Linked DNA regions of Mus musculus. The protein of the gene in region 1 interacts with the protein of each later gene in a biochemical or structural test. Links are inferred from orthologs where the notes say so. Each region holds a gene or a part of one and is shown in the gene's direction. Other genes may lie near its edges. The genes, in order: Pdgfrb, Ptpn6, Ptprj, Pten, Plcg1 and Slc9a3r2.

Region 1 (4,924 bases):
AACGGCATGGACTTCTTAGCCTCTAAGAACGTATGTATGGTCCTGATGGGGCAAGGCAAAACTGTGAGGAGAGAGGGCAGCTAGCCAACCAGAGCCTTCCACATGTGTGGCCCCATGAGATAGCTCCCGACTCTCTGATGGACAAGGGCATTGAGAAACCACACACCTGGGAAGGCACACATTTTTTCCTAAAGTGCTGACCCAGAGGGTCTTCCCCCACAACTGCTCCTTGGCTTCAGCTCCCCTCTTCCTTGATCCAGTGTGTTCACCGAGACTTGGCGGCCAGGAATGTGCTCATCTGCGAGGGCAAGCTGGTCAAGATCTGTGACTTCGGCCTGGCTCGAGACATCATGAGGGACTCAAACTACATCTCCAAAGGCAGCGTGAGTGACTTCACCATCCGTGGGGTTGTCCCCAGGTGCCTCTGTCCCTGGGTACAGGTTCCCTCCAATCCATGTGGCCACACTTCAGTATGGGACCACTGCTTACTTTTTGTGCCAGTAGAGATGCCAGTGCTGCTCAGCTATGAGCAGAGGCTGGACAAAGAGCCACCTAGCTTTGTGCACAGTGGGAAAAGATGGGGAGAGGGTCAGGACCACATGTCACAGTGGGGGCTGAATCAGGACCAGCTACAGTGGGCCCCAGGTGAGCAGGAAGAGGTATAGACAGAGATGTAAGGTGAACAGAGGAGTAACCCAAATGATATGGTAAGACAGGTCTTGAAGTCCAGTGTTAGAATAACTACAGACCCCAGAGACCTTGGGCATGTCCCTGGCTACCCACTTCAAGGCATAGCACACTCTTGGGGCTTCCCCCAGGGTTACAGGCTACCAGGTCTCTAGACAGTGAGTTAGGAAACAGCTTCCCAATGCTCTGGCCAGGAGTGTGCTTAGAGCCTTAGAGTGGAGTGAGAAGGAATTGGTGTGGGAGCTGCTGAGCCTCCTCCTTCCCAGGGGTGGACTGGCTAGAGACTCTATGTGCTCAGTGCCTGTCTTCACTTCTTCAGACCTTCCTGCCTCTGAAGTGGATGGCCCCAGAGAGCATCTTCAACAGCCTCTACACCACTTTGAGTGATGTCTGGTCTTTTGGGATCCTACTCTGGGAGATCTTCACACTGGGTGAGCCACTTCTTCCCCTAGCCCCAAGCTATGCACCAGAGCATCTACCCTTCCACTTCTATCTCCCTCCTGATTGCTCCTCGGCCTGGAAGTAGAGGACTGTGGGACAGATGCTCAGACATGAGCCAGGACTTAGGGGCAAGTCCAGACAGTGCCACTCTTCTAATTCTAAGGCTTTGGCAAGTCCTCTGCCAACTCTGGGTCTTTATTTTCCCATCCAAGTATCAAAGGGATTAGACATATCAAAAACATGCTTGAAGCCGCTGTAATGGTGTATAGCTGTAATCTCAGGATATGGGAAGCAGGAAAATGGAAAGTTTGAGGCCAGCCTGAGCTACCTAGACTCCATCTTTAAAAATCAAAGAGAAGAAACACAAACACAAACAAACCCTGCTTAGATATCTATTGCTTCTCTGTTTCCATCTCTGTGTGGAGTCTATTTTCCAATGCCAAGGGCATTGTGTTCTCATATATGCCAAGACAGTATAGCATGCCTGAGAGGACACCTTGCCACTCCCCACATCCTGAGACAGTATGTCCCTGTCTCTGTTCCATGACAGGTGGCACCCCTTACCCAGAGCTGCCCATGAACGACCAGTTCTACAATGCCATCAAGAGGGGCTACCGCATGGCCCAGCCTGCTCATGCCTCCGACGAGATGTGAGTGGAACCTAGTGCATTTGGGAGGAATTTGAGGATTCCAGGGGGGCATGCAACTCTAGTTCAAAGGTTAAATGAGTATTGCTAGAACTGGATCAAGGTGTTCAAAATGGCACCACCAGGAAGTTCGGTCCCAGACCAGGTCTCCACTTTCTCTATGCTGGCTTCAAATTCAAGCCTGCCCTGCTCATGTGGCTACCATTAGCACCACAATACCTTACTGCTTGCATTGCTCCAGCAAAAGACCAGCGCTGAGCTTTTAAGGGCTCAGTTTGGTCACATACCATCAGAACTGGTGCTGAGTTGGGAGGATGAGAATCCCTATTGGCCAAATTCAGGTTACAGTGTTCTTCCCCATGATGCCTTAGACTCTGCTGAATCATGTGAATGGGGGAAGCTGGGAAGACTTCCCAAGAGATCAGTAAGAAGCAATGATAGGATAAACAAGGCGTCGGGAGCTCCTCCCCCAGCATCTCTCCCTGCACCTTGTTCTGAGGCTGTGCACTCCACAGCCCTGCCTCTGCAGAGGGGACTCTGACTCTCTCTCTGCCTCCCTCAGCTATGAGATCATGCAGAAATGCTGGGAAGAAAAGTTTGAGACTCGACCCCCCTTCTCCCAGCTGGTGCTGCTCCTGGAGAGGCTTCTGGGTGAAGGCTATAAAAAGGTATGTGGAGCCAAGGCAGGGTGGAAGACAGAGTTCTCATCCAAACCCTGTGCAGTTGGCTTGATGTAATGTGCTGGGATTTGGGGAGGAAATGATCCTCACCCAGGCTCTGGGCCTGGGTTTCTCTGCTGGTGCTAGAAAGGGTTGAGCCAGAACTACTTATTTATTCTAAAAGAATCAAAAAATGTGGAAGCTGATTGATCTGTCCAAGAGAGGTGCAGTAGATAATCCTGTCTGTCAAACCTGTGAACCCTGACAACACTGGGGTTCCTTCGGAAGTGTGAGCAACCCCAGACTCTCTGGAACCCGCACAGCAACTACTTGAACCTTGTTCCAGGTTCACGCAAGTCTGACAGGACGAGTCTGTCCGGACCTCAGCTTCTTGTCTTCCCATCTGGGGTGGTCCTAGGGAGATAGAGACAAAGAGAAGCCATCACTGTTTCATTGCAAGGGACACTGACCTGCAGCCACAACAGGAGGTTGTGGGAGACCATAGTAGTATGGGAGCCCATATCTGTTTAGTCTGAAGTGGGTTGGGAGTTAGGGTCATGGTAATCTGGCTACCGTGCCTGGCTACTATGCTTGACTACCTGCCCTCCCTAGGGAACTCTGAACTTGTCTTGGGATGCCAGGTAGGAAGGCTGCTCACCAGGGCAGCTTTGTGTAGGACCTCATTCTCTGAGCATAAACGAGGGTATAGGGTTTCTAAGACATTGCCCATCAAACTCCTTTTTCATTCCCTGTCCTACGGAGCAGAAGTACCAGCAGGTAGATGAGGAGTTCCTGAGGAGTGACCATCCTGCCATCCTGAGGTCCCAAGCCCGCTTTCCGGGGATCCACAGCCTCCGATCCCCTCTGGACACCAGCTCTGTTCTCTACACTGCCGTGCAGCCCAATGAGAGTGACAATGACTACATCATCCCCTTACCTGACCCCAAGCCTGACGTTGCTGATGAAGGTCTCCCAGAGGGGTCCCCCAGCCTTGCCAGGTAGCCACCCTGACCCTTTGGCCCCAGGCACTCATGCATATAGTGCGTGTGTTCATGTGTGTGTGTGTGTGTAACCAGACTTGCCACAGAAGGACTGTCAGCTAGCTAGAGTAAGGACTAACTCTTGCCAGTGGCTAGTAAGGCTGAAGTTTACTCAGCACTTAGAGCTGCAGGTAAGAAAGGCAGACTGGAAAGAAACAAGTTATTCTAGAACCCATTTGCAAGATAGCTCTTCCTTTTAAGGACATCACAACTACAGGACCCTTTCTAGGTCTTGTGCTAGTCCCGAGGACAAAGAGGAAACATTTAGCATTTCCCAACTGTTACTTGGGGTTATGGCTGCCCTTGACACCATATCCAGGTAGCCTGTTTGTAGAAGATGGAAGAGCTGCAAATCCAGGTTAGAACTCAGACAGGGGAAGGGAGACATGGTCTGCCTTGGGTTATAGTAGAGCCCACTAAGGGATGCATTCTGGGGAGCCCTATGCCTTTCCTGGATTGATGTTCAGCCAGAGAGGGAACTCCCCAAAATCAAGACCTAGCTCATGGATGAGTGGTAGGAGACACAGGCTGGCTTCTGTTTCTAGCCCGTCACTATGAAACTTGGATAGGCCTTGTCTCTGAGGGCCTCAGTTTCTCTGTAGGAACTAGCAGTGCATAAAGGCCTTTGCAGGCCCTGAAGGTCTCATTTGCCTCTCGTTAATGAGACAGGCATTGTCAGGCGGGCATGGGGTGGGTGTGGGGCTGGGAGGTGGGTAGGGGTGGTGTTAGGCTGAGCAGGGTCAACTCAAGAGTTCACTGCGAGGTCACTTTGTCTCGTGACCTCAGACCAGATGCTCCGCCTCCACAAACCTCAGTTTCCTTTTCTGTAAGGTGAAAACAGCCCTAGGGGAGGACTGAGATACTGTCATCTCCCTGAGCACAAAGATGGATTCCTGACAAGCGGGGATGAGACAGAAACTTGAGAGCCTGGTCTTCCCGCTCTCAAGTTCTAGCTCCCTGTACTCACCCGCTGTGTGTGGTGGAGCCATGACATAACCTCTCTGAGCTGTGCTCCCCTTGGGGTACAGGCCTCTCAGTGTGTAAAGACAACACACGGAAACCTCTTAGATAATGCTGTTATCTTCTTGGGGTTTCCCCGGTTCCTTTCTGACTTATTCCCTTCCTCTAGTTCCACCTTGAATGAAGTCAACACTTCCTCCACCATCTCCTGCGACAGTCCCCTGGAGCTCCAAGAAGAGCCACAGCAAGCAGAGCCTGAGGCACAACTGGAGCAGCCACAGGATTCAGGCTGCCCAGGACCTCTGGCTGAAGCAGAGGACAGCTTCCTGTAGGAACTGACATCACTCCATTTTGCCCGAATCTCCCTTCTGCCTCCCAGAACCCAACCCTCTTGGCCTGGCCTGGCCTGGCCTGGCCTCCCAGCAGCTACACTGCCACAAGCTGTCCCCTCGAGGAAAGCCCTTGGTTTGCAGCACTCAAGGTCCAGGGA
Region 2 (5,519 bases), on another chromosome or scaffold:
CTCCTCCCATTGATAACCGACTAGGCCAACTTCTGCTGCATATGCAGCTAGAGACATGAACTCTGGGGGTACTGGTTCGTTCATATTGTTCTACGGATCTCCCTTTGCTGGAACAAGCTTTGTATGTGGTCTTCCTGACGCTTGGGATGAGCTGAGTCTATCGGAGTTCTGGATCTTGCTTAATGTAATACCCAAGCATGCATATTTTCAGGGGTATTAGCAAGAAGAGAAAGCCTAAAAGGAGGGTGGGAGGGAGAGAGGCAGGAAGGTTAAGTAATATTTGATGTTTTCAATAATGATAAAGTACTCGTCATAGACTGTTAAACAAAACAAAACCAGCTCCCCCCCCCCCACCCCCCCCCCCCCACACACACCAGGGGCTTGCTATATAGCCCTGGCTGGCTTGGAACTCTTTATGAAGCCCAGGCTGGCTTCAGGTTTGTTCTCATCCCCTTACCTCTGTCTTCCATGTGCTGGAATTACAGATGTGTGACATGGCATCCAGCAAGACTGTTGGTGGTGAAGGCCAGGGTTTCCCACCCAAATGCTAAGCAAGCATTTTACACAGAGCCACACTCTAGCCATGTTTGGGTTTTATCGTCTCTTACTTCTCCTATACTTTGAGATATGACTATATACTGTGAATAAATATTAAGCATACAACTAACTATACACTCACTCATGAAACTACTGGGCTTGGAGCAGAGAGAGGGCCTTATGTTACCATCGAGCCGCATCATTCAGTTTTAAAGAAGTGTAAGGGAGCCAGATGTGGTGGCAACCTCCAGCTACTGGAGAGGTGGAGGCAGGGAGATTACAAATTCAAGGCTACAGAGTGAGTTCCAGATTAGCCTGGGCAATTTAGCTAGACCCTATCTCCAAAAAAGTAAAAAGAGAACTAACAGGGGGTGTGACTCTGTGGTTGAGCCTTTGCCTTGCGAGTTTGAGGTCCTAAGTTCAAACCCTAGGACTGCAGAAGTGTGAAGGGAATCAAATGAATAAGGAAAAGAAATAGGGTGGAAGATGTACACTGCCCAAGGATGCCTGCCCAAGGATGCTCCTCACACTGTTTAAGGGACTGAGAGTCTGGGTTGGTTTTGTTGTTCTTGTTGTTGAAACAGGTCTCACTATATAGCGCTAGATATCCTGGAACTCACTGTATAGACCAAGTTGGCCTCAAACTCACAGAGAGCTGCCTGCCTATGCCTCCCAAGTGTTGGGATTAAAGGCATGGGTTACCATGCCCAGCTAGGACTGGGGTTCTAATTTCAGTATTATAAAACAAACAAACAAACAAACAAACAAACAAACCAAAACTAACCAATCAAAACACCTCAGACAATAAACCCTTAAAAGATATAAGGTGCTCTGTCCCATCTCCCTTCTCCAGCAGCCTGTGTCCCTTGCTAAGGAAGATACCAATATAAATTGGGCAGCTTGTTTCCCCTCTGGTCTTGGCTTGGTAGTATTTGCATCTTTTTTTGTATTCATCCTGGGGTTTACATACACAAGGTCCCATAAGCCTGAAGGCTGAGCGCTCCTAAAGTTTAAAGCCCTCCCTGTGAGCGTCTGCCCTTGTTGGGACCCTGGCCATAAACCCTAACCTTTAGGAGATACCTTCCCACCCCACCCCTCCCTGCTGACAGTCAGGGTATAGGAAGGAGGCCTAGGCCCATGATGACAGAGCTGCACAAGGTTGCTTTGTGGGGGCTCTCAGCTGTGATGATAGCATCTCCTTTGGACAAGGAGTCTATTGACTACTGTTCTTTGGGTCCTGAGGGCTGGCAAGCAGAATTCAAAAGTCATTGGCTTTGAAACTATTTAGGTCTGAATCCTGCAACTCACTAAGGGTAAGACCTGGGGGCAATTCCTCAAACTTCTTGGCCTCAGTTTCCTTGTCTGTGAAGTGGGGATAAAGATAGTGCCTGAGGAATGAGGCCCTGGTGACCTGTAACTCACAGGAGGCATGAAAATGACATTGTAGCAATGAGTCTGGCAGGCTGCGACACTCCATTAAATGACGGTGCCACTGCACACGATCATTATTAGACTGTGCCTAAGAATAATTCTGAGTAGAGGCAGCTGCTGGAGGAGGAAGGGTTGACCTGATAATGTGGATATTCACTGTGCGTGACTCTTGACCTGCCACACGTGTGCCTTACCTCTTGAGTCATGAATATTTACTGCCTTGCCCCTGTGCCTTTGTTGGCAGACTGTGGGAAGTGGGCCCTCCCCCACCCTGCCACCCTCCAGCTCCTCTTCCCTCGCTCTGAAAAGAGAAGTTCTAGTGAGTTCCCCTAAGGGGTCGGCCGCGCCCCTTCCTGTCTCCGCCCTGCTGGCTGCCCCAGGCCAGTAGAGTGGTAGCCCGGGGAGCAGGACTGCAGGTTGGCTTTGGAGGCCTGGGCTCTGAGAGCCTTGCCTGAGGCTCATCTCTAGAGTTTGTACGTGCCTGCCCAGACAAACTGTTCCCTCCACATTTTCTGCAGCCAATTCAGTGAGAACCCCAGGATGGTGAGGTAAGGGCCTGGGACCCATGGAGGATAGGAAACAAGGGTGGCTGGAGCCCTGGGGATATTCCCTCACTGCCCTGTGCACTTTTAGGTGGTTTCACCGGGACCTCAGCGGGCCTGATGCAGAGACCCTGCTGAAGGGCCGGGGAGTCCCTGGGAGCTTCCTGGCTCGGCCCAGCCGCAAGAACCAGGGTGACTTCTCCCTCTCAGTCAGGTGGGTGGCCCTCCCTGCACCTTGGCAGCTCATTGTGTGGGTCCGGAGCATTCCTGGGTTCCCTGGGTTGTGTTGTCTCCTCATGATACATTTCTTCCCTTCTGTCCCTGCCTGTCGCCCTAGCATGTGCCCATAACTGTCTATGTCTACTCCATGCCTATGTGCTTTTGCATCGAGACCCCTGTCCCCCCAAGCCCACCCCGCTGCTGCTCATGTATCTCACTACCTGGTGGTGCCTCGCAGGGTGGATGATCAGGTGACTCATATTCGGATCCAGAACTCAGGGGACTTCTATGACCTGTACGGAGGGGAGAAGTTTGCGACGCTGACAGAGCTGGTCGAGTATTACACGCAGCAGCAGGGCATCCTGCAGGACCGAGATGGCACCATCATCCACCTTAAGTACCCACTGAACTGCTCGGACCCCACCAGTGAGAGGTGAGGGGCATTGCAGGTTGGCCCTGTCCCTTGAGATAAGTGGACATCCAGACCAGGTGTCCTTCTGTTCCCAGTCCGTTCTTCATCCCTGATCTTCCACACCTGTTCTCTCAGTGTTCTCAGCCTCTTCCCTCTGTAGGCTGATGATTCCCATGTATCTAACCAATCCCCTGTCCCCTGAGGAAGCCAGAGAAGGGTTCCCCTTGCCTTCCTGCAGGGTTCCTGCTGCCTAGCAACCTCATCCTGAGAGTAACAGAGAGGCCACTCCTTGTCTCTGGTGTTTCTCATCAGGTCGGCCCTATTACTAGAAAGCTTGTCCTACCATGGAACTCTGGTGCCTTCTTCCAGCCCTCTACACAGCCTGGGGCTCTAGGTCCCTGTCTTAATAAGGTCTTAGAGGTCCACTGGTACTGGGGTACTCAGGGACTTCTCTCAGCATCACACTGAGGTGGGGCTGGACAGAGCTTGGTGAAAGCAAGGTCGCTGAGGTGGTCACAGGTAGAGAAGGGCCCAGGCTTATCTGACTTAAGGAGACCCTCAGGATATCCCCAACTAGTGCTGCAAAGACACGGCCCCCATAGCTGGGCTGGCTGTTCTCTTGTGGTCTTCTCAGAGCATGTGCAAAGGGAAGGTTATGGAGATAAATGTCCCTCATTCATTACACTGGGGCTCGTCTTAGCTGTATAGCACAGGGACTGACTGGCAACCCCTATTAACTCAGGGTTTTCTTATGGACTCTGGGGCTCTGCGTACCTGTTCCTGTCCTGTGTCTGTGTATTTACAGTTGAAATGATTCCGAACTTGATCCCCACACCCTTCTCTGCTGGGGCCTGAACCCGGGGCCTTGTCTGAGTTGAGTGAGCGCTTTGCCACTAGCTACCTTCCACGCAGTTTTAAAGTCTGTTTTGAGATTCGTGCCTACAAACTTAGCTCAATAGTTTTGTTCACAAGTTACTGACTAAAACTGAGGACTGAAGGTCTAGGGACTGTGGCTCAGGTGGTGAGTGCTTGCCTGCCATGCATTAAACACTGGGTTCTATTCCCTGTCGTGCATAAACCTAGTGTGAGTGACACGTGCCTGTGAGCCCAGGTGGAGGCAGGAAGACCAGAAGAAGGTCAAGTTTATCCTCCATTCCATAGCAAGTTTGAGGCCGGATAGGGCTCCATGAGACCTTGACTTAAACTAAAACAAGCGGAGTGGAGGTGGTACCATAGGCCTTTTATCCCAGCACTCAAAAGAGGCAGGGGAAGGTGGATGTCTGGAAGTTCAAGGCCAGCCTGGTCTATCAAGTAAGTTCCAGTACAGCCAGGGCTCCACAGAGAAACCTTGTCTTGAAAAACCAAAACCCCCAAACAAAACAACAAAAAAACTCCAACCCAAACAAACAAACAAACAACCAACCAAAAAAAACCCTCAAAACACAAAGAAAACCACAAACAAACAAACAAAGAAGCTGGAGGACACTCCCTAGAAGGCTTTCCTCTTCTGCTGGTGAGTGGGAAGGGAGGGCCTGCCCCAGGTTGTCTCTCCTCTCCTATCCTACCTGCAGCCCTCAGGATGGTTTGGCCTCTCTCTCAGATTCGCTTTGAGCCCCTTGTTTTCTCTTTGTTGCTGACTCAAGCCAGGATGCGCCCTGCTAGAGTAGACCATGGAGGTACAGCTGAATGGTGGCTGCAGTGTTCCCTGTGATCAGGAAGGAGGTGGGAGCTAAACAGGTGTTAGGAGAACAGGCCAGGGCAGTGGGGAAGCACAGGACACCCTGTGGATGATACCCTCTGACAGGGCTGCGGAGGACTCCAAGGGACACTTTGGATGGCCATTTGGGAAGAAGCTGTCTCATCCCTAACCTTAGTGTGTGTGGAAGCCATGACCCAATGGCTCCTCTCTTTGCCCCTCCTCTTCTGGGAAATTTGCATTTGTCCCCTCAATAGTGAACTCTCTGCCTGTGGTCTGTTCACATTTGCATGGAGACTTCCTCATCCTGTCCCTGAGGGAAGGAGCTGAGCCCCCTCACATTGCTTGGGGTCTCTGGCCTGTTCCTGAGGTGGGCTAGGATGGCCCAGGAGGCCTGGGTTGGGGTAGGAACCTCTGAAGGCCTTGAGCTATGGTGTCCTCTGGACAGAGTTGAGAAGGACCAAGAGGACTGAGCCCCACTCCACCCCCCCCCCAATCCTTGCGGTTGGAAAATGCTCTCCCCCCCACCCCCCGAGCTGAAGAAACCTCACAACCTCACTTCTCACTCTCTCCCCAGAAGGAGTTTTGTGTTTTTTCCATCACGTGGTTTCCTGTGAGGCTAGGCATTGTGGGGCTACAGTTTCCTCCTGGGAAGAGGACCTTCACGGACCGGTCCTTAGTT
Region 3 (4,027 bases), on another chromosome or scaffold:
TTGATTGCTTTCTCACTTTTTGCAGTGATGCTGGTTATCACAGTCAAACACAGCTTGAAACTATGGCTAGTCTATTTAGCTGGCTTGATCTGAGGTCACGCCCTCTTCTGAGGCCACACCCACTCAGCATTTTCTTGGTTTGTTGATCGGCTGTTTAGTCCTGCTGCTCTGTGGCAAATACTTTAACCACTGATCTGCCTCTCCAGCCTCCTGATCACTTTTTCGTATTTCAAAAATAATATATTAAAAATTAACACTATAGAACTGCCCAGAATATATTCTTCCCCCTAACCCTACTTCCTAGACGCTAGGACCTAAAGGAAGGCCTTAGTTACTTTTAGCTTGTGTAGTACTTTGGATCCCACACCTCCCAGGCTGATGTGTTTGAATATTTGGTCACCAGACAGGGACGTTGCTTTGAAAGGTCATGGAATCTTCAGGGAGCAGAGCCTTGCTGGAGGAAGTCGATCACTACCTGGTGGGCCTTAAGGTTTCATACCTGGTTCCACTTCCTGTCTGCCCTCTGCTCTCTGCTTCCTCTATGACCAGCTGCCCAAGGCCCTGCCACCATCCCTTTTCAGCCATGGTGGGCTGTATCTCCTCTGCTGTGAGTCAAAAGAAGTTCCTTCTTGTCAGGCTTGGTTACAGCAGCCAGAGATGGAACTGGCACAGCAGGTGGCGCTATAGAACGTTTTGAATATGCACATGCGTACATCTGTGGTCTCCTTTGAAAAGACTGGATGCTCTTATGAGGTTTGCTTTTACGGCACCTAGCCTTTTTTTTTTTTTTTTTTTTTCCTGCCACAGCATATACTTCCTCTATTTAAACAGCGACCTGTAGATTCTGATAGATACACTTGTATTAGTGTTACTTTTTTGTTGTTGTTGTTTTGTTTTTTGTTTTTTTGAGACAGGGTTTCTCTGTATAGTCCTGGCTGTCCTGGAACTCATTTTGTAGATCAGGCTGGCCTCGAACTCAGAAATCTGCTTGCCTCTGCCTCCCGAGTGCTGGGATTAAAGGCGTGCGCCACCACCACCCGACATTAGTTATTTTTTTGAAAACAATAATTGTGTGTAAGTTTATTTTGCCTCATGGTTTGGGGTACAGTTTTTCATGGTAAGCCACTGTGATATAACTGTGGCAGCAGTAGGATGACCCTGGCCACATTCTGCCTGCAGTAAGGCAGGAGAGAGATGACTGTTGGTACGCAACCCCCTTCATTTCTCACTTGCTGCAGACCTCCGCCCCACATTCAGGATGTGTCGTCTGTCCCTCATCAGGTGACCCTCTCCTCTAATGACCTCCTAGTCACACGGAGGAGTGTCTTCTAGGTGATTCTCAATTTCATCCAGCTGACAGTTAAGATTAGTCTTCACGCTACCCCGAGGAGGGGGCTGCACTCAGGTCCAGCTGATGCCCTTTAACCCTTCTCCTCTTTAGAGAGTCCTTCCGGTTTACTCTCACTCCACGCGGATTCCTTAACTTTCACTGTCCTGCGGTATTTATGCTTGATTTCCTCTGCATCTTCATTTCACCCTCCATAAGGTTCTGATGTTTCCTTGATATGAAGACGTGAGGGTGCCCGCTCTGGTTAAGTGTCACTGGTAAAGAAGGCTGTGTTATGTGCTTTTTGAATGTCATTAGGTTGTTTATAGATCACGGATGTGTTGGACAGATGGGATCATGGTGAGTTTTCCTTTAAGAATCGTCTCGTGTTCTCATTCCTGGGGCTGGTGCTTATTCTTCTCTCTCATTTCCTTTCCCACCAGGACCAGTATGTTTTCCTCAATCAGTGTGTTTTGGATATTATCAGAGCCCAGAAAGACTCAAAAGTTGATCTCATCTATCAGAACACAACGGCAATGACAATCTATGAAAACCTCGAGCCAGTGAGCATGTTTGGAAAGACTAATGGTTACATCGCCTAGTTCCAAAGCAAACCCTTTCTGAAGCTAACCGGACCGTCACACCCACAGTGAAGGAGAGCGCCCTGACGGGACATGTTTTATATGTCTCCTTTCTCAGTTCTTTGTTCTGTTCTGTTAGAACTACTTGGAGGGCATGGGGCTGTGCGTGCAAAAGCATGGCAGATAGCCAGTGGGGTGTCAGGGGCTGTGGACGGGTGGTGTGGAAATCAGCTGCCTTCCTGATCACTAATGGGATGGGTTCACTTTTTGTTTTTTTCCTTGAGAATTGTGGAAAACCAGGAAAAGTGAGCTATGTTTTGTTTTCCAAACTGGTTTGTTCTCCTCTTTTCTCCCCTTGTCTCCCCCCTCTCTCTCCCCCCTACCTCTCTGTTTTTTTTTTTTTTCAAGACTTTTATATGATTCACATGCTAAAGCCAGGATTATGTTGGGTTGAATATATTTTAAGTATCAGAGGTCTATTTTTACCTACTGTATCTTGGAATCTAGCCGATGGAAATGCGTGACTGTGGGTGTTTCTCACGCAGGGAGGGGCACATGGCGCCTCTTCTGCGTGGGTTTCTATTTGAACATGTGCCTTTTCTGAATTATGCTTCCATGGGCAAAACTCAGTAGATGTCTCTATTTTTATATTGAATCTCAGAATTGGAATATACAGACTATTTAAGCAGTAGCTTAGCATCAGAGAGTCGCCTCCTCAGTAACATTCCGGCTCCCATTCGATTAGAGGAGGCTCTCTCTGCGGCCCACCCTTGACACACGTTTGTGCCCCACAGTCCCCTTCCCTTTCTTTCTTTTCCCCTCCCAGTTTTCGCCAAAGACTTGTGTTGGTGAGATTTTCATCCCATTGGTTGGGTGAGAATAGAAATGTAAACCATCATCATGAGACTCTCTGTGGGTGGGGGTGGGGAGGAAGAGAGGAATCAACATACCATGGTGTGCACCCCTTCTCATCCCGTCTCCTCCTTTCTCTCCTTTCTGTCTTTGGTAAGAAGGATTATTTAAAGGTGCAATATGTGACGTAGTGGTTCACGATGCTCTGGGTTCTTAGTAATGTTTTACTCAGGTTGTCATTTTATGTATGTGTGTGTGTCTGTGTGTCTGTGTGTGTCTCTGTGTGTTTTATAGCGTGGTGATCTGTGAACATTTCAGTGTGAACTCAGAATAACCCCTTTTCCCCTCGAAGTCCACTGGCTTTAGTCTATCTGCAGTGACACACATCAGTATCTACTGTATATATAAATACTAAACTCTTACACCAGTCATTCCTATGAATTGAGGTGTACAAAGTTTGATTTGTATCAAAGATGTAATTATTATTTTTAAAACCTCTTTTCACTACACTGCTGCTGTAATTACTTTGAATTTTTAAAGAAAAAAAATGTAGTTTTTTTTTTTTTTTTGGCTTCAGGTGTGTATTCACCAAGAATTTCAGAATTTATGTGGTTTTATTTTATTGGTACATAATCTGTAAACTTCTCAAGGCATTAACATGACAAGATTTGTGTCTTTTATTTTATCTTGTGGCTCAGGTTATATTTGAAGAAGTTTCAAGTTTATCTTCTAGTAGGCAATGAAGTCTATATAAGGTCTTATGAAGGAATCGCCAGGTCCCTGGACTCCTGTGGCTGTTTTCCACAGTAACAACACATCCTGCTGTATGTTTGGGACAATGGTATCCTGTTGAAGATGAGGGTGGGTCTTCTCCAAGGACCTGGCCACTGTGGGCCCCGGAACTGCCTTCTGATGTTCTGCCTTCTCTGTTCCTCGTGTCACCAGCACTTTGATGGCTGACTGGACCTGATCATGAGTATTTGTAGGGTTAGAGAGGGTGACCCATAATTGAAAGTCCCCTGCTGTGTTTCAGCGCTGTAGTGCTGTGGTGTGTACCCCCCCCCCCCTTTTCCTTTGCGGTACTGAAAGGATTGAAAGAAGAGGGTCATGGCATTGTCATGCTTTGGGGGAGAATTTTACTTCTCACATGGAAACTGCACTTTTTTTTTTCTAAATCCTTTGCATTTTGATGTTCATTTAGTGTACAGCCCTACAGAGAATGGGCTGGCCCAGGTAGCTTGGGCCCCTTGACTCAACTTCACTGGGG
Region 4 (4,924 bases), on another chromosome or scaffold:
TTGAAAACCAAAAAGAGAAAAAGTAATTAGCATCAAGTAGCCAAGGCTTATAAAAGAAGAATTAATGAAAAATACACTAGGAAAATGTAAAATTCCAAGGCAGGCTTTTCTTATCGGAATAGCATTATAATAAAAACCATAAAACTGATCAAAGATGTCATTTTACACTCACACAGGAGACACTTCATACGGACACTGAGCTGTTACGAACGTCTGTGCCAAAAGGAGTCAACTTTGTTAAGCAAATGCTAGAGAAGGAAAATAAAAAGCTAGACTCGGAGGAGGCGCAAAGTAAATATGTGCACACTGAAGACAGTGATAGAGTCGGCACCTGAGTGCTTTGCAGTGCCCACTTGCTTAGGTTAATAACTCACCAGATTAACTACAAATCCCACAAGCTTGGAAAGTAGAGCCCTGTTACCTGTCTTGACAGTTGAGTGGAACTATAGTTTGAAGTTTAATTCAGGTCATTATGGAAATTTAAAGCCATTTTCTTCAATAATTTTTGAGCCATTTGAAGAAAGATACATTGATTATTCACCAGTAGAAAATGAAACAAAAATATAAAGGAGTGAACTGAGGAAATGCTGAACTATTTGGGCTAGCAAATCGAACATTGACTACAAGAAAGAGAACTGGTGTTTTTTTTAATAGTGTTTAGGGTTAAATCTGGGTTTTTGTAACTGTCTCAAAGATGAATAATGTAGCACATGTTTGTGTTTAGCTAGGCAGTTAAGTCCTAGGGGTGTACGATGCTCTGGCCTCGCCTTGCTGCCTAGGCCTTAGTATGGTGCAAGCTTCCCTCTGTATCACCACTGCCTGTGAGCTCTGTGAGCTCTATTCACACAACTGCTGTTGATCTGAGAATTGTTTACTTACATATCAACCCAGCTTTTTTCAAAAGGATGAGCATATAAATGCTTGTGATAATAGGTGTCCTTCCCATCACTTGAGAATCTGTTTATTGCTGTACACAAGTGTGAAATGTGTACCAAAAGCTAGAGAGCAGGAGAAATGCCATCTGAACATTATCAGCTACTATATTTTTTTGTTTATTTTAACTTCTTTTATATAACTGAATTTGCTGGTTTATCCTCATGTAAATTCTATTAAGGAGGTTTGTATTATTGTATTAATTTTTTTAAAGAAGCAAATTGGAAGTTTATATTTTCTCAGAATTCAAATATAAGCTTTGACTATTTAGTATGTGATTTTTCACTCTAGCCAAAGTCTTAAATTGCCAATCATGATTTCAAGTGGTTTATATCCATTTTTGTTTGTTTGTTTTTGTTTTTGAGACGGGGTCTCTCTTTGTAGCCCTGTTGGCTTGGAATGCACAGAGATCCACCAGCTTCTTTCTTCCTCCTGAATTCTGGAATTAAAGTTGTATACTGCCACTTATCCATTTTGATACACATATGGAGCAGAGAAACAGAGAAAGACAGAGAGAGGGGAAGAGGGTGGGGTCAGAGTTCATATACCTGTATTTGCTAGACATCGTATTCCTTCTATACTTCTTAGCTTGTATGCTGTCTTCTTCCCCAGCAGAAGGGTGTCTGTGTCTAGAGTCCTTATCACAGTAGAAGTTGAGAGGCCATCAGTAAACTAAAGAGCATTGTAATACCTTTTTCTTATTAACATAAAATACCTATTTTCTGCAATTCTGTTTGTTGAGACTGGGCCTCACATAGGTCAAGCTGGCCTTAAACTTACGATTTTGGTTGTACCCAAGTACCGAGATTACAAGAGGGTACTGCCATGCCAAAACTGCTGTTTACTTTAAACTGTTAGATTAAATGCTTATTATTTGCCTTATATTGACTTTTTTACTGTTATATTGTGAATAGAAAAATATTAACTCATTAGTGAATGAATTGTTACACATATGGTATGTATGTCTTTGTGTGTGTGTGTCTATATGTATATATGTATGTGTCTGTATGTTCCTTGGATGTCCATCCTCTGGTGCCATCTATCTTGTTCAGACAGGGTCTCTAATTGGTCTGGAATTCACCAAGTAGGCTAGGCCAGCCTGTGAATCCCAAGAATCTGCCTGTCTCTGCTCCCCCATGCCGAAGTTTTAGGCATATATATGGTTACGTGGTACCTTAAAAAATGTATATAGGCATGGGCTAGGTTGGCTGAAGTGATAGCTGGTTTAAAGCACTGTTGTTCTTGCAGAGGACCCAGGTTAACTCCCAGTACCCACACAATGGCTTACAAACATCTGTAACTCCAGTTTCATGGCATGCCTTCTGGTTTCTGTGGGCACCAGGTATACATATGGCAAAACACTCACAAAATATTTCAAGAACTAAGAAAAAAACATATGCATGGGTTTTGGGTCATACATGCGATTGATTGATTGATTGACTGGTTTCCGGCTGGCCTGGAACTATATAAACCCTGGGCTGGTTCGGAACAGTCCTCTGCTTCATCCCCTTTAGTGGTAGGATTACAGGTGTGGGACACCATTCCTGGTTAGGGTCCCCTTTTAAATGTCATATGAATTATGTCTTTTAAATATTTGTAATATTTTCTAAGCCATTTTATGCTTCCCTAATGTCTGCAAGGAGTGGATATAGCACAAGGATACCGATACCCCTTACTGCCTCTGTTAACAAGTTGTATTGAATATGTTTATCATTCAGCTGCATACTCTCTCTTTTCCTTTTTTTTTTGGACTCTAAGGTCAGAATCTCATTTTTCCTGCACAGAGGCAACACGTTTCTCTAGTGTACTGATTCTGATATGATTTTGCTTAGAAAGTATGTAAACAGGTTTGTGAAGACTTGCCTAGTAAACCCATCTTTGAGAGGAGACTTGGGTATGTGTAGCTGCAGTACAGAGACCATTGACTGTCTGTTTGAATACACAGTGGCCTTTGCTTATTGGGTTCATAGATCAGAGCATTATTTAATATTTGAATAAATGAGGTATTTAATAACTACATTTTAAGAATATTCTTTTGTTATTGCTCTTATTTATTCTAATACTGAGTTAGATTTGATTGTTAGCCACTTAAAGGAGAAACTTTGGGATAACCCAGTTATAGCAATTTTGTATAATAACTTTAATGAAACTTTCCTTTTGAATTTGACTTCTCTTTTTCTTTTGTCTCCCTCCTCCCTCTGCCCCCTGGGCCTATCAGGGAGTCACAATTCCCAGTCAGAGGCGCTATGTATATTATTATAGCTACCTGCTAAAAAATCACCTGGATTACAGACCCGTGGCACTGCTGTTTCACAAGATGATGTTTGAAACTATTCCAATGTTCAGTGGCGGAACTTGCAGTAAGTGCTCTAAATTCTTAGCTGTCTGTGTGTCGGAAAACTTTTTAAAACCATATCTAAATGTATATGTAAATGTTTAGAAATACATTTACCAGGTTAAAAGGAGTATATTTCTGAAGTTGGAATTAATTAGTTCAGTTGTTCAACTCACTGGGTTAAGAAAGCTAACCCAATGAATTTTGGTGTTCTTTTTTTGTTTGTTTGTTTTTATGTTTTTCGAGACAGGGTTTCTCTGTATCGCCCTGGCTGTCCTGGAACTCACTTTGTAGACCAGGCTGTCCCTGAACTCAGAAATCTGCCTGCCTCTGCCTCCCAAGTGCTGGGATTAAAGGTGTGAGCCACCACACCTGGCAATTTTGGTGTTCTTCAAGTCAATTATATTTATGGGAGAAATATTCTATGTTATAACCACCAGATGCAGTCTCTGTTCTGACAAAATAACCGAGAGACTCTTGACAGATCAGTGTGAGAATCTGAGAGACACTCTTGACAGATCAGTGTGAGAATGGCCTCTGGCTACAACCAGGTCCTCATCAGAGGGAAACATGTTCACTGTCAGAGACAGAAAGAGAGGAGCCCTTCAAATATAGAGAATAAAAGGGTGTGTGAATTGGGATGTGTGGAGAAAACCTAAGTGTAGCTTTGAAGTCAAGCTCTCAGCCTGTGGCTTGGACTTGTCATCTCCTCACTGAGTTTGCTTGTTAGTAAAATAAAGAAATCTTGGTAAGTATGACGTCATGACATCAGTGTGTGCTTGTAGTAATTTCTCTTACCTTAGTGACACCTGGGAGTGGTCAGTCATGTTTTACACTTAAGATATTTTATTTGTATTTTCAATATAACGTCATAGTATCAGATGTCACTTATTAGAATCCCTTGATATTATTTTATGGATGTTTGCAGTTTGTCAGTGATTTTAGTTTTTCGCCTCCATGAAATACTTCATTAAATTAACTTGTTCTTTCTAAAATAATTTTTATGTAGAGAATCAGTTTCTTCGTCAGATAGGTGTGATTGCCCATGAGTATGGCAACTTTGTTAAGGGCCCCTAATTTATTTATATAGCTTGTTGGAAAGTTCTAAGGAACTTCCATACTGATTAAGTATATTAGTATAATTTTAAAAGTGTGAGTACAAGGCACAATGGACTATTGAAAGCAATTGACCTAGGAACTTCACTAGGTTCATTGAGAAGGAAAGGGGATAGGAACTCATGTTCTTCCTATAGTTTAGGCATCAATATAGAGCTGTAAAGGCGGTATGGAGGCAATACGGAAAAGCTCTGCTCAGGAATCTCACTAGGTACTGACTTTTTGTCAGCTCTACTTTGCTTATTGATTAAACTGCTGTTGGGCTTTTAGTCGGACAACATTATGTTTGCATCTCTACGCTTAAAAAATATTGACTACTAAATTCTTTTTAATCTTTAAAAATTTCTAGTTACTTATTTATGTGCTGGGATTTAACACTATATGTTGAAGTTATATTAAAATAAAGCTCATGAGATTCATATGTATAAATTATAACTGCCATGTTCACAAAAGGTTTTGGAAACAATTTCATGAAGAAAGTCGGTCACTGGAGAACACATGCAGTTTGGATTGGCATTGAGTGTGAAGGAAATATTACAG
Region 5 (4,924 bases), on another chromosome or scaffold:
CAAGGAAGGGGAGGCCAGTGACTCCTCCTAAGGGGCTTGACTGGCAGTTTTGCTCTGTACTATGTAGGACCTTGAACAGCGCAGCGGGGACATCACCTACGGGCAGTTTGCTCAGCTGTACCGCAGCCTCATGTACAGCGCCCAGAAGACGGTGCATGAACCTCCCACCCTCCCTGTCCTTGGCCCAACTCCTCTGCCTTCTCTCATAGCCCTGCTGCCCTGCTTTGGAGTGGTTTTGGTGCCATTACTCTAGCCACACACACCCCTCCCCCGGGGCATCTGCTCCCTAGCCTTTTCTTAAGAGCCCCTTTCCTGCATGGCCTCCCAGGGCTCCTCCTGACCAGATTCTGTTCTCTGCAGATGGACCTTCCCTTCTTGGAAACCAACGCTTTGAGGTTTGGTTTGGAACAGCCAATTGGGCTTTTTCTCTGGGTGGTTTCAGATCCAGGTGGGAAGCAGTGGGTAGATGGGGATGGGGCATAATAAACCACTGGGTATCTACACTAGACGGGGGCCCTTTGTCAGCCAGTGCCAGACACTAGGTTTTCTCCCTACAGGACTGGAGAGCGTCCGGAGCATTGCCAGGTGTCCCTTTCTGAGTTCCAGCAGTTCCTCCTTGAATACCAGGGGGTATGTCTGGGCCAGGGAGTTAGGCTGCAGGGTGGCTTCATCATTGGTGGCCTCCTCCATGACTTCTTTACCTGGCAGGAGCTGTGGGCTGTCGACCGGCTCCAGGTGCAGGAATTCATGCTCAGCTTCCTTCGAGACCCCTTGCGAGAGATTGAGGAGCCATACTTCTTCTTGGATGAGGTGAGCCTCACCTTTCCCACCATTCTGTTAGAGAAAGCAGGTGGGGTGGGTGACCAGAGCTGACCTGTGCTCTAAAAGCTGTGCATGCACTCTACTGCCTACTTTGCCAGTGGAGTCGAGACTCAGCACATTCTTGTACCTACTTCCATCCCAAGTGGCAGCCAGCACTCATTCACTTTCTCCTCCACATTTATCCTTGTAGCTTGTCACCTTCCTGTTCTCCAAAGAGAACAGCGTGTGGAACTCACAGCTGGATGCTGTGTGCCCGGACACCATGAACAACCCACTCTCTCACTATTGGATCTCCTCCTCACATAATACGTGAGTAAGCCTCTTTTTGCTCATCCAACCCTTCCTAAGGAGGGAGGAAGGCCCTCCAGACCATATGTACCTCTCCTTGCTTATCCAGGTACCTGACTGGGGACCAGTTCTCCAGTGAGTCCTCCCTGGAAGCCTATGCTCGCTGCCTGAGGATGGGCTGTCGCTGCATTGAGTGTACGTTGGGTCTAAGGTTTGGAGAGGGAAGGTGAGAGGCCTGCCTGTTTGACTGTGTGATATTGTTCTCTAGTGGACTGCTGGGATGGGCCAGATGGGATGCCAGTCATTTACCATGGGCACACTCTCACCACCAAGATCAAGTTCTCTGACGTCCTGCACACCATCAAGGAGCATGCTTTCGTAGCCTCAGAGTGAGTAGGCGTGCAGATCACGGGCAGCCTCCAGAAGGTCCTTTTACTCCTAGGATCCCCTGCTTGCATGGCTTGCTCCCATTCTTCCAGTCTCCTCTGCTCTTACTCCAGCCAGTTTCCTGAGTTCTTGCCTCTGCTCCCTGCTTCTCTGGGTAGCACTGAAGTGCATCTCATTCTCAAAAACATGCCTGTAGCTGTGGTCTCAGGTTATCTCCATCTCCTTCATTGCCCAGAAGAGAATGTTTCCTATGAGCCATCTCAGTTGCTAGCTGCCACCAGGCCCACAGTCCCCACTGCACTGAAAGGATCCACAAGCTGCACTGGGGGCTAATTCTCATCCTTCCTGACCTATTTTGTGTGGAATGTCTTTTGCTAGGCCAGCAACTCACGAGGCTCCCCCTCTGCAACACTTGCCTCTTCTTGGTTCCCACTGCCTCCTGATGTGCCCCCACCCCAACTCCAGGGCTCCCTCTCTTCAGAGGGGTCCTGTGGATAAGGTGCCCCAGGCCCTTGACTCCCATTATTTCACTCTGTAAGGAACTGTTTGGACTGAGATTTGAATCACAATAACCGTAGCAGCAGTGTTACTGTCCTGGCCCTTTGCCTTCAGGTACCCAGTCATCCTGTCCATCGAGGACCACTGCAGCATTGCCCAGCAGAGAAACATGGCTCAGCACTTCAGAAAGGTGCTTGGCGACACACTCCTTACCAAGCCTGTGGACATTGCTGCTGATGGCCTTCCTTCTCCCAACCAGCTCAGGAGGAAGATCCTTATTAAGGTGTGACATCGTTGCCAGGAGAAACCTTGAATTAGGAGATGGGCTAGGTGTGGAATGGTTTTTGCCATGACCTGGTCTGCTTCCACAGCACAAGAAGCTGGCTGAGGGCAGTGCCTATGAGGAGGTGCCTACCTCTGTGATGTACTCCGAGAATGACATCAGTAACTCCATCAAGAATGGTATCCTCTACTTGGAGGACCCCGTGAATCATGTGAGGTCTAGCTGAGCCTGGACATGGTGGGGCAGTGTGTTGAACTCTGGCTTACAGGTCCCCTTTGGTCTCCTCCAGGAGTGGTATCCCCACTACTTCGTTCTGACTAGCAGCAAGATCTACTACTCTGAGGAGACCAGCAGTGACCAGGGCAATGAGGATGAAGAGGAGCCGAAGGAGGTAGAATTGTTGAGGGGCATGGGGTCAGCTGAATGAGAACGTGACAGTCACTGGGTATCTTTGCTGTCATCCTGTCTAGGCCAGCAGCAGCACAGAGCTGCACTCGAGTGAGAAGTGGTTCCACGGGAAGCTCGGGGCTGGACGTGACGGGCGGCACATTGCTGAGCGCCTGCTCACTGAGTACTGCATAGAGACTGGGGCTCCTGATGGCTCCTTCCTAGTGCGAGAAAGTGAGACCTTCGTGGGTGACTACACGCTGTCTTTCTGGTAACCCACATCCAGCACTATACCCATGTTTAGTCTACTATACCTAGACATAATTGGTTAACATTTTAGCCTTGGGTCTAGGTTTTCCATAAAACACAATTCATTCTTACACAGGCATGTGTGAACTTAAACATGTATGTTTGATGTGTATGTCTTCCTCCAAGCTTCTTTGGAGAATGGCCTCCCTTTTTGAAATGTTATGCCTTGCCTAGTTATGTATTCTTTGGAGCTCTGACCTGCTTTTGACGCCTCTCCCATCCTGTCTTCCCTCAGGCGGAATGGGAAAGTCCAGCACTGCCGCATCCACTCCCGGCAGGATGCTGGGACTCCTAAGTTCTTCTTGACAGATAACCTTGTCTTTGACTCTCTCTATGACCTCATCACACATTATCAGCAAGTACCCCTGCGCTGCAATGAGTTTGAGATGCGCCTTTCAGAGCCTGTTCCACAGACGAATGCCCATGAGAGCAAAGAGTGAGGGCAGGGACAGGGAGGGGAGCAGGGGTAATGGTAGGACTGATTGGCCAGGGCCTAACTCTGTTGGTTTTCAGGTGGTACCACGCAAGCCTGACTAGAGCTCAGGCTGAACATATGCTGATGCGAGTGCCCCGGGATGGGGCCTTCCTGGTGCGGAAACGCAATGAGCCTAACTCATATGCCATCTCTTTCCGGTGAGGCATGCTGGACAGCTGTGGGTTCTTGTTGGGGTCCGGGCTGTCTTCCTTGCTGACTGTCCTGTCATTGTGAAGGGCTGAGGGAAAGATCAAGCACTGCCGAGTACAGCAGGAAGGCCAGACAGTGATGCTGGGGAACTCTGAGTTTGACAGCCTGGTTGACCTCATCAGCTACTATGAGAAGCACCCCCTGTACCGCAAAATGAAGCTACGCTACCCCATCAACGAGGAGGCACTGGAGAAGATCGGGACAGCTGTGAGAATGGCGGGGATGGGGGGCAGGGATCCCAGTATAGTTAGAGGACATTCACAATGTACCACTGTCTGAATGTGTTGAAAACTCATCTTGGGGTATTTTCAAGTTCACATGAGAGCGCTAGGAGTAACTGGGAACTATGGTGTGTAGCTGGAGGAAATGGCACCTGAGCCGTGCCTGGGTATTCAGACAAAGTCCCCATGAACTAAGCGGTAGGTGGCAAGGTCTAGGAGCTCACATGGACTGGGTCTGGAGTGTATGGGGCAGAGTAGGTACAATTGTATAGATGTGTTTGTTCTGTGGGAAGGCTCTGGAGGGAAGACCGTGGCTTGGTAGTGCAAGGGTCTTGGATCAGTGTTGTGGTTTTTAATAGAAGGCAGGCATCTCACACAGGATTGGTTGCGAGTTGTCAGTTGTGACACGATAACCTGGTCAGGGTCATGCTGTTCCCTGAAGTCAGGAGAGGTGTGCTGGGCTACTTCCTGACCGTGAGCTCAGCCACTGAACAAACATTAAGTATGTGGTGTTGCTGGCAGCTCGGCAGCAGGGAGCTCCGGCTGCAGGAGCCACAGTGGTGGATGTGGGGTAAGAGTGCAAAAGGAGTGTGGATCAAGTCCCTACAGGCACCCTCCCCTTGGAAGATGAGGAGGGGGATTCCTGTAGGCCAGGGGCCAATGAGCTGGGGCAAATGTCCTGTAGAAGAGGCCAGCTGTGCTTCAGAAACTGGGCAATGGGAGCTAGCAGCTGCATTTATCTCAGTTCTGGGATGGTGATAGATCACAATGTGTCCTGTTTCCAGGAACCCGATTATGGGGCACTATACGAGGGCCGCAACCCTGGTTTCTATGTGGAGGCAAACCCTATGCCAACTTTCAAGGTAAATATCTGTGCTTGGCACAGGAAGCCACAAGGAAGGAGGGGTTCCCTACTGCTTGGGGCTTATATTTCTGTATTCTGGGCCCTTTTGTGGTAGGTGTGGAGAAACAAGTGTTAGTTGTGGTTTTCTGAGGCTCAAGAGATTTTAAGATGTGTGGTTGGTAAATGACCATAAATCTCCA
Region 6 (5,390 bases), on another chromosome or scaffold:
CTCTTTGCATGCTGAGCAAGCACTCTAACAGCTCAGCTACATTCTCATCCCTGAGTTTGTTTGTGTTTGTTTGTGAGACAGTCTTCCTGTAGCTTAGGCTGGACCCCTTGGATTATGAATGGTTGTGAGAGAGGCGTTGGATTCCATTATGGATGGTTGGAAGCTGCCTGAAGGCTGCTGGGAATCAAACCCTGGTCCTCTCAACAGAGGCACCATCTCTCTGGCCCCATTGTTTGCTCTTGTTTTTGAAATATTCTATCCAGGCTGGCTACAAAGACCACAGAGGTGCTGACTTCTGGTGGCGGCCTGGCTTCCCTTCCTTGCTGTTTCACACTGCTGGTCCAGGCTTCCTTTGTGGCTCAAGCCCACTGATGGGCTAAGACTTCCTTTCTGTCACCTTCCTTGGCACTTTCCAGCCCTTTCGCTTTAGGAACTCCTTTGCTATTACTCTGTGACTGCAGAGCTGTATCATCCTTGGCTCCTGGCCCCTCTGAGACTACATGTTCCTGCCCTTATTCCTCCCTCCCCCAAGCCCCCATCCTATTTTTAGTCATGGGCTGAGTCTTTGGTGACAGAGAGCCAGTGAAGGGCCCGAGGTTGGGGTGGGAAAAGGTCCCCTACCTTCCTCAATTCCTGGCTTAGAGATCTCCCATCTTGCCAACCTCTTTAGTGTGACCACAAAGATGCTGTTAGCAGGTCTGGCAGGTTCCTGGTTATTCTGGGGATAACTTCCAAGTTTCACACGGATGGGATATACATAGTTTATACACATTAACCATCTCCATGGGCAACCAGCATTACGCCAGGCTCAGTGAAACCAATCCTAAGCTAGAAAGACAAACTCTTTGGATAAGCAGGCAGACAGATAGATGGAAGTGGTCAGTCAGGCCTGTGGCAGCATCAGCTAGAATCTGAAGAGAGGGCTGGAGGCAGGGAGCAACAAAGTATCCTCAGCCTAAGTGCCTTTTAGGAGCAGCAGCTAGGGTGTGGGTACCCAAGGGGCTGCTGCTGAGAGGTGGGTCCTAGTGCTTGGGTGGGGGTTGAAAGCCTCAGCTAAGGGTTCTGGAGAGAGGGGAGGGAGAGGAGAACACTGAGCTAGGACTGCTTCTCCTATCCACATGGGGAACTGTCTGAGCTGGCTGTACCTGACGCCGGGGGACCAGGTAAGTGAGGAGCTGTGGGCTGGGGAGAAGCAGGCTGTGGGTAAGCCTGGATCTCAGCTGTCTTATGTGTTGGGAGGATGCTTCAAGGTGAAAGTGCAGTCTCACAGTACTGGACTCTAGCAGAGGGTTTTCTCTAGGCCTCAGTTTCCTGATCTGTAAAATGGTCAGTTTTCTCTAGGGCTGTTTTTTGGAAAACCATATAGGAATGCATAAGGGGTTTTCAGTGGGACTATTTTCCTGTAAGAGTAGATGAGAATTTCATCAATTGTAAATCTAAGTGCATTGGGACTATAGACTTAGGAACCGGCGTTGGGAGCCCTGTGGGGCTTAATTTGGGACAGCTGATCACCACCTAGAGCTCAGGGACCAAAGTCCTCAGTACGGTTCATACTAGGTCAAGAGGAAGACAGCACACACCTCCCATTTCTGCCAGATAAACTCATGTTCCCAAAAAGCAGGGAATACAGGAGACAGGATGTTTAATGGACAAACACTTCCTGGGAAGAACAAGGGGACACCTATTTGCTGTCCTTGGTTGCCTAAAGACAAAGACCTTGGTTGCCGTGGTGTCTCTTTAAATTCTTATTCTTGCCTGTTGCTCTTTGGGTCGGGACAAGACAACTTCGGGGATCTAGAGGGAGCAGGCAGAACACTCCTGGTAGGTAGAGGGTGGGGTGCATCCCGAGGAAAGGGCGCAGTGGCCCTTGCACTTCCCCTCTGGCCTCTGTGTAGAGTGTCTCTGACAAGAGGCTTCCCATTTCTGGAACCTCTCTCACTGTACCATATGCAGGTGTCCAAAAAAGTGGTTCCTGGACAGAAGTCAAAGGTGCTGGCGCTACGGAGGGTGGCCAAAATGGGTTAAGATAGGACTCCCAGGGACTCGAGGGTTGCCTGACCAAGCAATCCCACTCCTTGGTCCTAGGGTTTCTGGGCGCCCAGGCAGGGGCCTAGCTAGCGGGGCTTGGGTTAGGGCGGGGGCAGCCAGGAGGGCGGGGAAGGGGCGGGCGCGGGGGCGGCGCTGCAGCAGGAGCAGGGGCCAGGGCCAGAGCCGAAGCCGGAGCCCGAGGCGACGCGAGCTGAGCAGGAGCCACCGAGGCCGCTGCCTGCTCTCCCGCCCGCGCCTCCGCCGCCTCCGCACTCCAGCCTGCGGGTGGTGTGAGCCGTGGCCAGTCGCGGCCGGCCAGGGGGCAGCGGGTGCCATGGCCGCGCTGGAATCGCTGCGGCCCCGCTTGTGTCGCCTGGTGCGCGGAGAGCAAGGGTACGGCTTTCACCTGCATGGCGAGAAAGGCCGCCGTGGCCAGTTCATCCGGCGCGTGGAGCCAGGCTCCCCAGCCGAGGCGGCCGCGCTGCGCGCCGGGGACCGCCTGGTTGAGGTCAACGGCGTCAACGTAGAGGGCGAGACGCATCACCAGGTGGGTCCCTGCGCTGCGCCCCGCCCCCCGGTTCCCTCCTAGGGGCGCGTCCCTACAGCGCTGGCCAAGATGCCTACGACCACCCTTCTGCGTGCCGTATGGTGGGACCCTGCAGGGGTCCCATGGGGGCCTGCTGTTTGGGTGTCGAGGTGTGGGACGTGGCCCGCCAGCTGGCCTCCTGGTGAGGAAGCTCAGTCCTGCACAAGCGGGGGAGGGAGGACATCCTGGTAGGGAGGGGCCGCACTGCGGCTACTCTGGCCAGGGCCCTGGCTGCTTCTGCTAGTTTTGGCCTCCGTGTGCCATGGAGGGGGAGGAGGTGGCTAAGGCACCTTGTGGCCTTGTGGTATAGATGCTTTTCTGTCAGTGTGTGAGTTATGTGTGTGTGCTCTCAGGTCTCTCTGGGGTCATCCATATGAATACACTACCCAAGTGTTCCAGGAGTGGATGAAAACATACTTGTGTCAGGGCTGGAATGTGTGTCTAGGGTTGTGTGGACACATCAGGCATGTGTGCTGGTCTCTCTCTCTCTCTCTCTCTCTCTCTCTCTCTCTCTCTCTCTCTCTCTCTCTCTCTGTGTGTGTGTGCATGTGAGTGTGCGTGTGCGTGCACGCGCTTGCGCCTGCTTACCTGGTTACACTAGTGTACTTTTCATGGGCTTGTGTGTCTGGATCTGGTGGAGTTGGCTCTAGTAGCAGCGATTCCTTGGGCTCAGAAAAAGCCTTTTTCTGGGCGGCTGCCTGGCCCTGTAGAGGTCACTGTATAGCCCTTGCCTGCTGCAGCAGGAGGAAGGAGGAGAGATGATCCACTGGTCTCTCTGCAGGTTCTACCTCTGGAGTGTCTGTATCCCGCTGAGGGGTAGATACAGTTAAGACCATGGTTACACTTCAGCCTCCCTCCACCTTTTCTGTTCTGGAACCCTAGTACCACTAAGTCCATGACCTATGGGAGTGGTTAGTCCTGAGGCCTGGAGAAAGCAGTGGTTCCTTGCTGGACTGAGTTGAACTTCTATCTCCCCAGCGACCAGTAGGTAGACTACAGTGACCCCTGGATTTGGTTGTGTGCTGAAGAGTTTGGGAGTGAAGCCCAGTGGTTGGCTTAAAAAGCAAGGGAGAGACTGGCAGAGTTGATGTCATATGCCTCTTGCAGTCGCTGAAATGTACCTGTTTATCCCAGGTCTCTAAAGACCTTCACCTAGAGCCACATTAAACTCCTACTGCTCAGAGAGATAGGAGCCAAAACCACGACCCCCATTCTGCTGGTAGCGACTGTGGTGACTGGCTTGGCTCCCATGGCAGAAGCATCAGAGAGCTGGCATCCCTCTGCTCTGTTGGTTATGGGGAGAGAGGATGAGCACTGAGGGGCCAGGTAGAGATGGGCCCAGGTAGGGCCTTCTTATCTGTGGTGGCATGTGCTAGAGAAGCCATCTCTTCACTCCCAGGCTGTAGGAGTGGATCTTGCACGGTCCACGGTGTCCCACACCTCACAGACACCCAGGCAGATAGACACACAGATGGCTGTAAAGCCACATCTGCTCTGCTGCTGTACCTGATGGATGTGAGCACCTTAGAATTGTCTTCACCTCTTTGCAGGTCCAGCAGGGATGGGTTTCTAGTCCTGATCTGGAGGCAAATTGAGGTTCTAGAACTTGTTGGGCATTAGATTCACACTGCATCTCCAAGAAAGAAATAAGCCCAAATACTCACACTGGGGCCAACAAAGACATTGCTCTCTCCTACCCCTGGACCAAAGAACAGACTTTAAAATACACACACACACACACACACACACACACACACACACACACACACACACACACACACAGAGAGAGAGAGAGAGAGAGAGAGAGATAAGCCTGCACACATGCATAGACCAGATTGAAATCCTGAAGCTCAACTGAACAGATTTGGACTCTCCCATCTGGCTGTTCCAAGCAGTCTTCCTGTGCTCACCTGAGCTGGGTGCAAGGCCACAAGAGAATCCTGAAGTACTTGCAGCCTGGGCCCTAGCTACAGGGAGAAGAGGGAGGGAACTGCTAGAAACTGGGGGTGGGGGGTGGAGCCTGCAGGCCTCTCAGGCCAGCTACCCACCCCTGGCAGGCCAACCCCTGCCCCTCTGTCCATGAGTCTTGGCCTAGCCGGGAGTGATGCCCTACCCATGTGCTGCCTGGGGTGTTGGCTGCTGACCGGGTCCCTGCTTCGCACCCGTTCCAGGTGGTACAGAGGATCAAGGCTGTGGAGGGGCAGACCCAGCTGCTTGTGGTGGACAAGGAGACCGATGAGGAGCTCTGCCGGCGGCAACTGACCTGCACTGAGGAGATGGCCCATCGAGGGCTTCCCCCAGCCCACAACCCCTGGGAGCCAAAGCCGGACTGGGCATGCTCGGGCAGCCTTGGCTCGGACACTGGCCAGAAGGTATGGTAGGCTGTGTCTGTGGGAACAATGAGCCTTTCCCAGAACTACAATCCCTGCCCCTTGATAACAATCTTCCTTTTGGTCACTTCTATAAGCCTCCATTTCCTCTTAGGGCTCTTTACCTACTGCAGTAACCGCTCTCTATGCTGCTGGTGAGCACTGCAGCAACTTGTCTGCCTTTGTCCCCTTTGCTGGAGGTTCCAGGGACTAAGGAGCTCTGAGAGGAGCTGCTGGGACTTTAAAGGATGCATGTCCGTGTTGGGTGTCTGTCGTCCTGGGTTTTGTCCATGTCTCTGTCTGAAGCGTCCAGCCTAAGCCATCTATGTGCTCTGAAGCCCTTGGGTGGGTTAGATCCTGCCGCTGCTGTAGCCGAGCAGCGATGGGGGTGGGTGGAGTGGGTGGGT

Evidence for each region.
Region 2: the proteins of Pdgfrb (region 1) and Ptpn6 form a complex in vitro, tested with the Homo sapiens proteins (2 studies listed by BioGRID and IntAct, with this or other methods). The link is inferred for Mus musculus from reciprocal best matches to the Homo sapiens genes PDGFRB and PTPN6.
Region 3: of the proteins of Pdgfrb (region 1) and Ptprj, one has a biochemical effect on the other in vitro, tested with the Homo sapiens proteins (2 studies listed by IntAct). The link is inferred for Mus musculus from reciprocal best matches to the Homo sapiens genes PDGFRB and PTPRJ.
Region 4: the proteins of Pdgfrb (region 1) and Pten form a complex in vitro, tested with the Homo sapiens proteins (2 studies listed by BioGRID and IntAct, with this or other methods). The link is inferred for Mus musculus from reciprocal best matches to the Homo sapiens genes PDGFRB and PTEN.
Region 5: the proteins of Pdgfrb (region 1) and Plcg1 form a complex in vitro, tested with the Homo sapiens proteins (3 studies listed by BioGRID and IntAct, with this or other methods). The link is inferred for Mus musculus from reciprocal best matches to the Homo sapiens genes PDGFRB and PLCG1.
Region 6: the proteins of Pdgfrb (region 1) and Slc9a3r2 form a complex in vitro, tested with the Homo sapiens proteins (2 studies listed by BioGRID and IntAct, with this or other methods). The link is inferred for Mus musculus from reciprocal best matches to the Homo sapiens genes PDGFRB and NHERF2.

The regions. Positions count from the first base shown.
Region 1 is NC_000084.6:61,078,618-61,083,541, forward strand, and holds part of Pdgfrb (platelet-derived growth factor receptor beta isoform 2 precursor), read left to right. Parts: coding exon 1-30; intron 31-260; coding exon 261-383; intron 384-1,006; coding exon 1,007-1,118; intron 1,119-1,678; coding exon 1,679-1,778; intron 1,779-2,337; coding exon 2,338-2,443; intron 2,444-3,199; coding exon 3,200-3,432; intron 3,433-4,603; coding exon 4,604-4,766; 3' UTR 4,767-4,924. UniProt on the Homo sapiens protein: Tyrosine-protein kinase that acts as a cell-surface receptor for homodimeric PDGFB and PDGFD and for heterodimers formed by PDGFA and PDGFB, and plays an essential role in the regulation of embryonic development, cell proliferation, survival, differentiation, chemotaxis and migration.
Region 2 is NC_000072.6:124,729,943-124,735,461, reverse strand, and holds the start of Ptpn6 (tyrosine-protein phosphatase non-receptor type 6), read left to right. Parts: upstream 1-2,307; 5' UTR 2,308-2,508; coding exon 2,509-2,516; intron 2,517-2,601; coding exon 2,602-2,724; intron 2,725-2,967; coding exon 2,968-3,162; intron 3,163-5,519. UniProt on the Homo sapiens protein: Tyrosine phosphatase enzyme that plays important roles in controlling immune signaling pathways and fundamental physiological processes such as hematopoiesis.
Region 3 is NC_000068.7:90,434,312-90,438,338, reverse strand, and holds part of Ptprj (receptor-type tyrosine-protein phosphatase eta isoform 1 precursor), read left to right. Parts: intron 1-1,770; coding exon 1,771-1,929; 3' UTR 1,930-4,027. UniProt on the Homo sapiens protein: Tyrosine phosphatase which dephosphorylates or contributes to the dephosphorylation of CTNND1, FLT3, PDGFRB, MET, KDR, LYN, SRC, MAPK1, MAPK3, EGFR, TJP1, OCLN, PIK3R1 and PIK3R2. Plays a role in cell adhesion, migration, proliferation and differentiation.
Region 4 is NC_000085.6:32,808,545-32,813,468, forward strand, and holds part of Pten (phosphatidylinositol 3,4,5-trisphosphate 3-phosphatase and dual-specificity protein phosphatase PTEN), read left to right. Parts: intron 1-3,151; coding exon 3,152-3,293; intron 3,294-4,924. UniProt on the Homo sapiens protein: Dual-specificity protein phosphatase, dephosphorylating tyrosine-, serine- and threonine-phosphorylated proteins.
Region 5 is NC_000068.7:160,751,076-160,755,999, forward strand, and holds part of Plcg1 (1-phosphatidylinositol 4,5-bisphosphate phosphodiesterase gamma-1), read left to right. Parts: intron 1-67; coding exon 68-151; intron 152-360; coding exon 361-395; intron 396-557; coding exon 558-630; intron 631-708; coding exon 709-810; intron 811-1,012; coding exon 1,013-1,131; intron 1,132-1,219; coding exon 1,220-1,305; intron 1,306-1,378; coding exon 1,379-1,499; intron 1,500-2,109; coding exon 2,110-2,278; intron 2,279-2,366; coding exon 2,367-2,489; intron 2,490-2,567; coding exon 2,568-2,669; intron 2,670-2,748; coding exon 2,749-2,936; intron 2,937-3,209; coding exon 3,210-3,410; intron 3,411-3,487; coding exon 3,488-3,607; intron 3,608-3,685; coding exon 3,686-3,866; intron 3,867-4,665; coding exon 4,666-4,743; intron 4,744-4,924. UniProt on the Homo sapiens protein: Mediates the production of the second messenger molecules diacylglycerol (DAG) and inositol 1,4,5-trisphosphate (IP3). Plays an important role in the regulation of intracellular signaling cascades.
Region 6 is NC_000083.6:24,647,123-24,652,512, reverse strand, and holds the start of Slc9a3r2 (Na(+)/H(+) exchange regulatory cofactor NHE-RF2), read left to right. Parts: upstream 1-2,207; 5' UTR 2,208-2,362; coding exon 2,363-2,575; intron 2,576-4,785; coding exon 4,786-4,986; intron 4,987-5,390.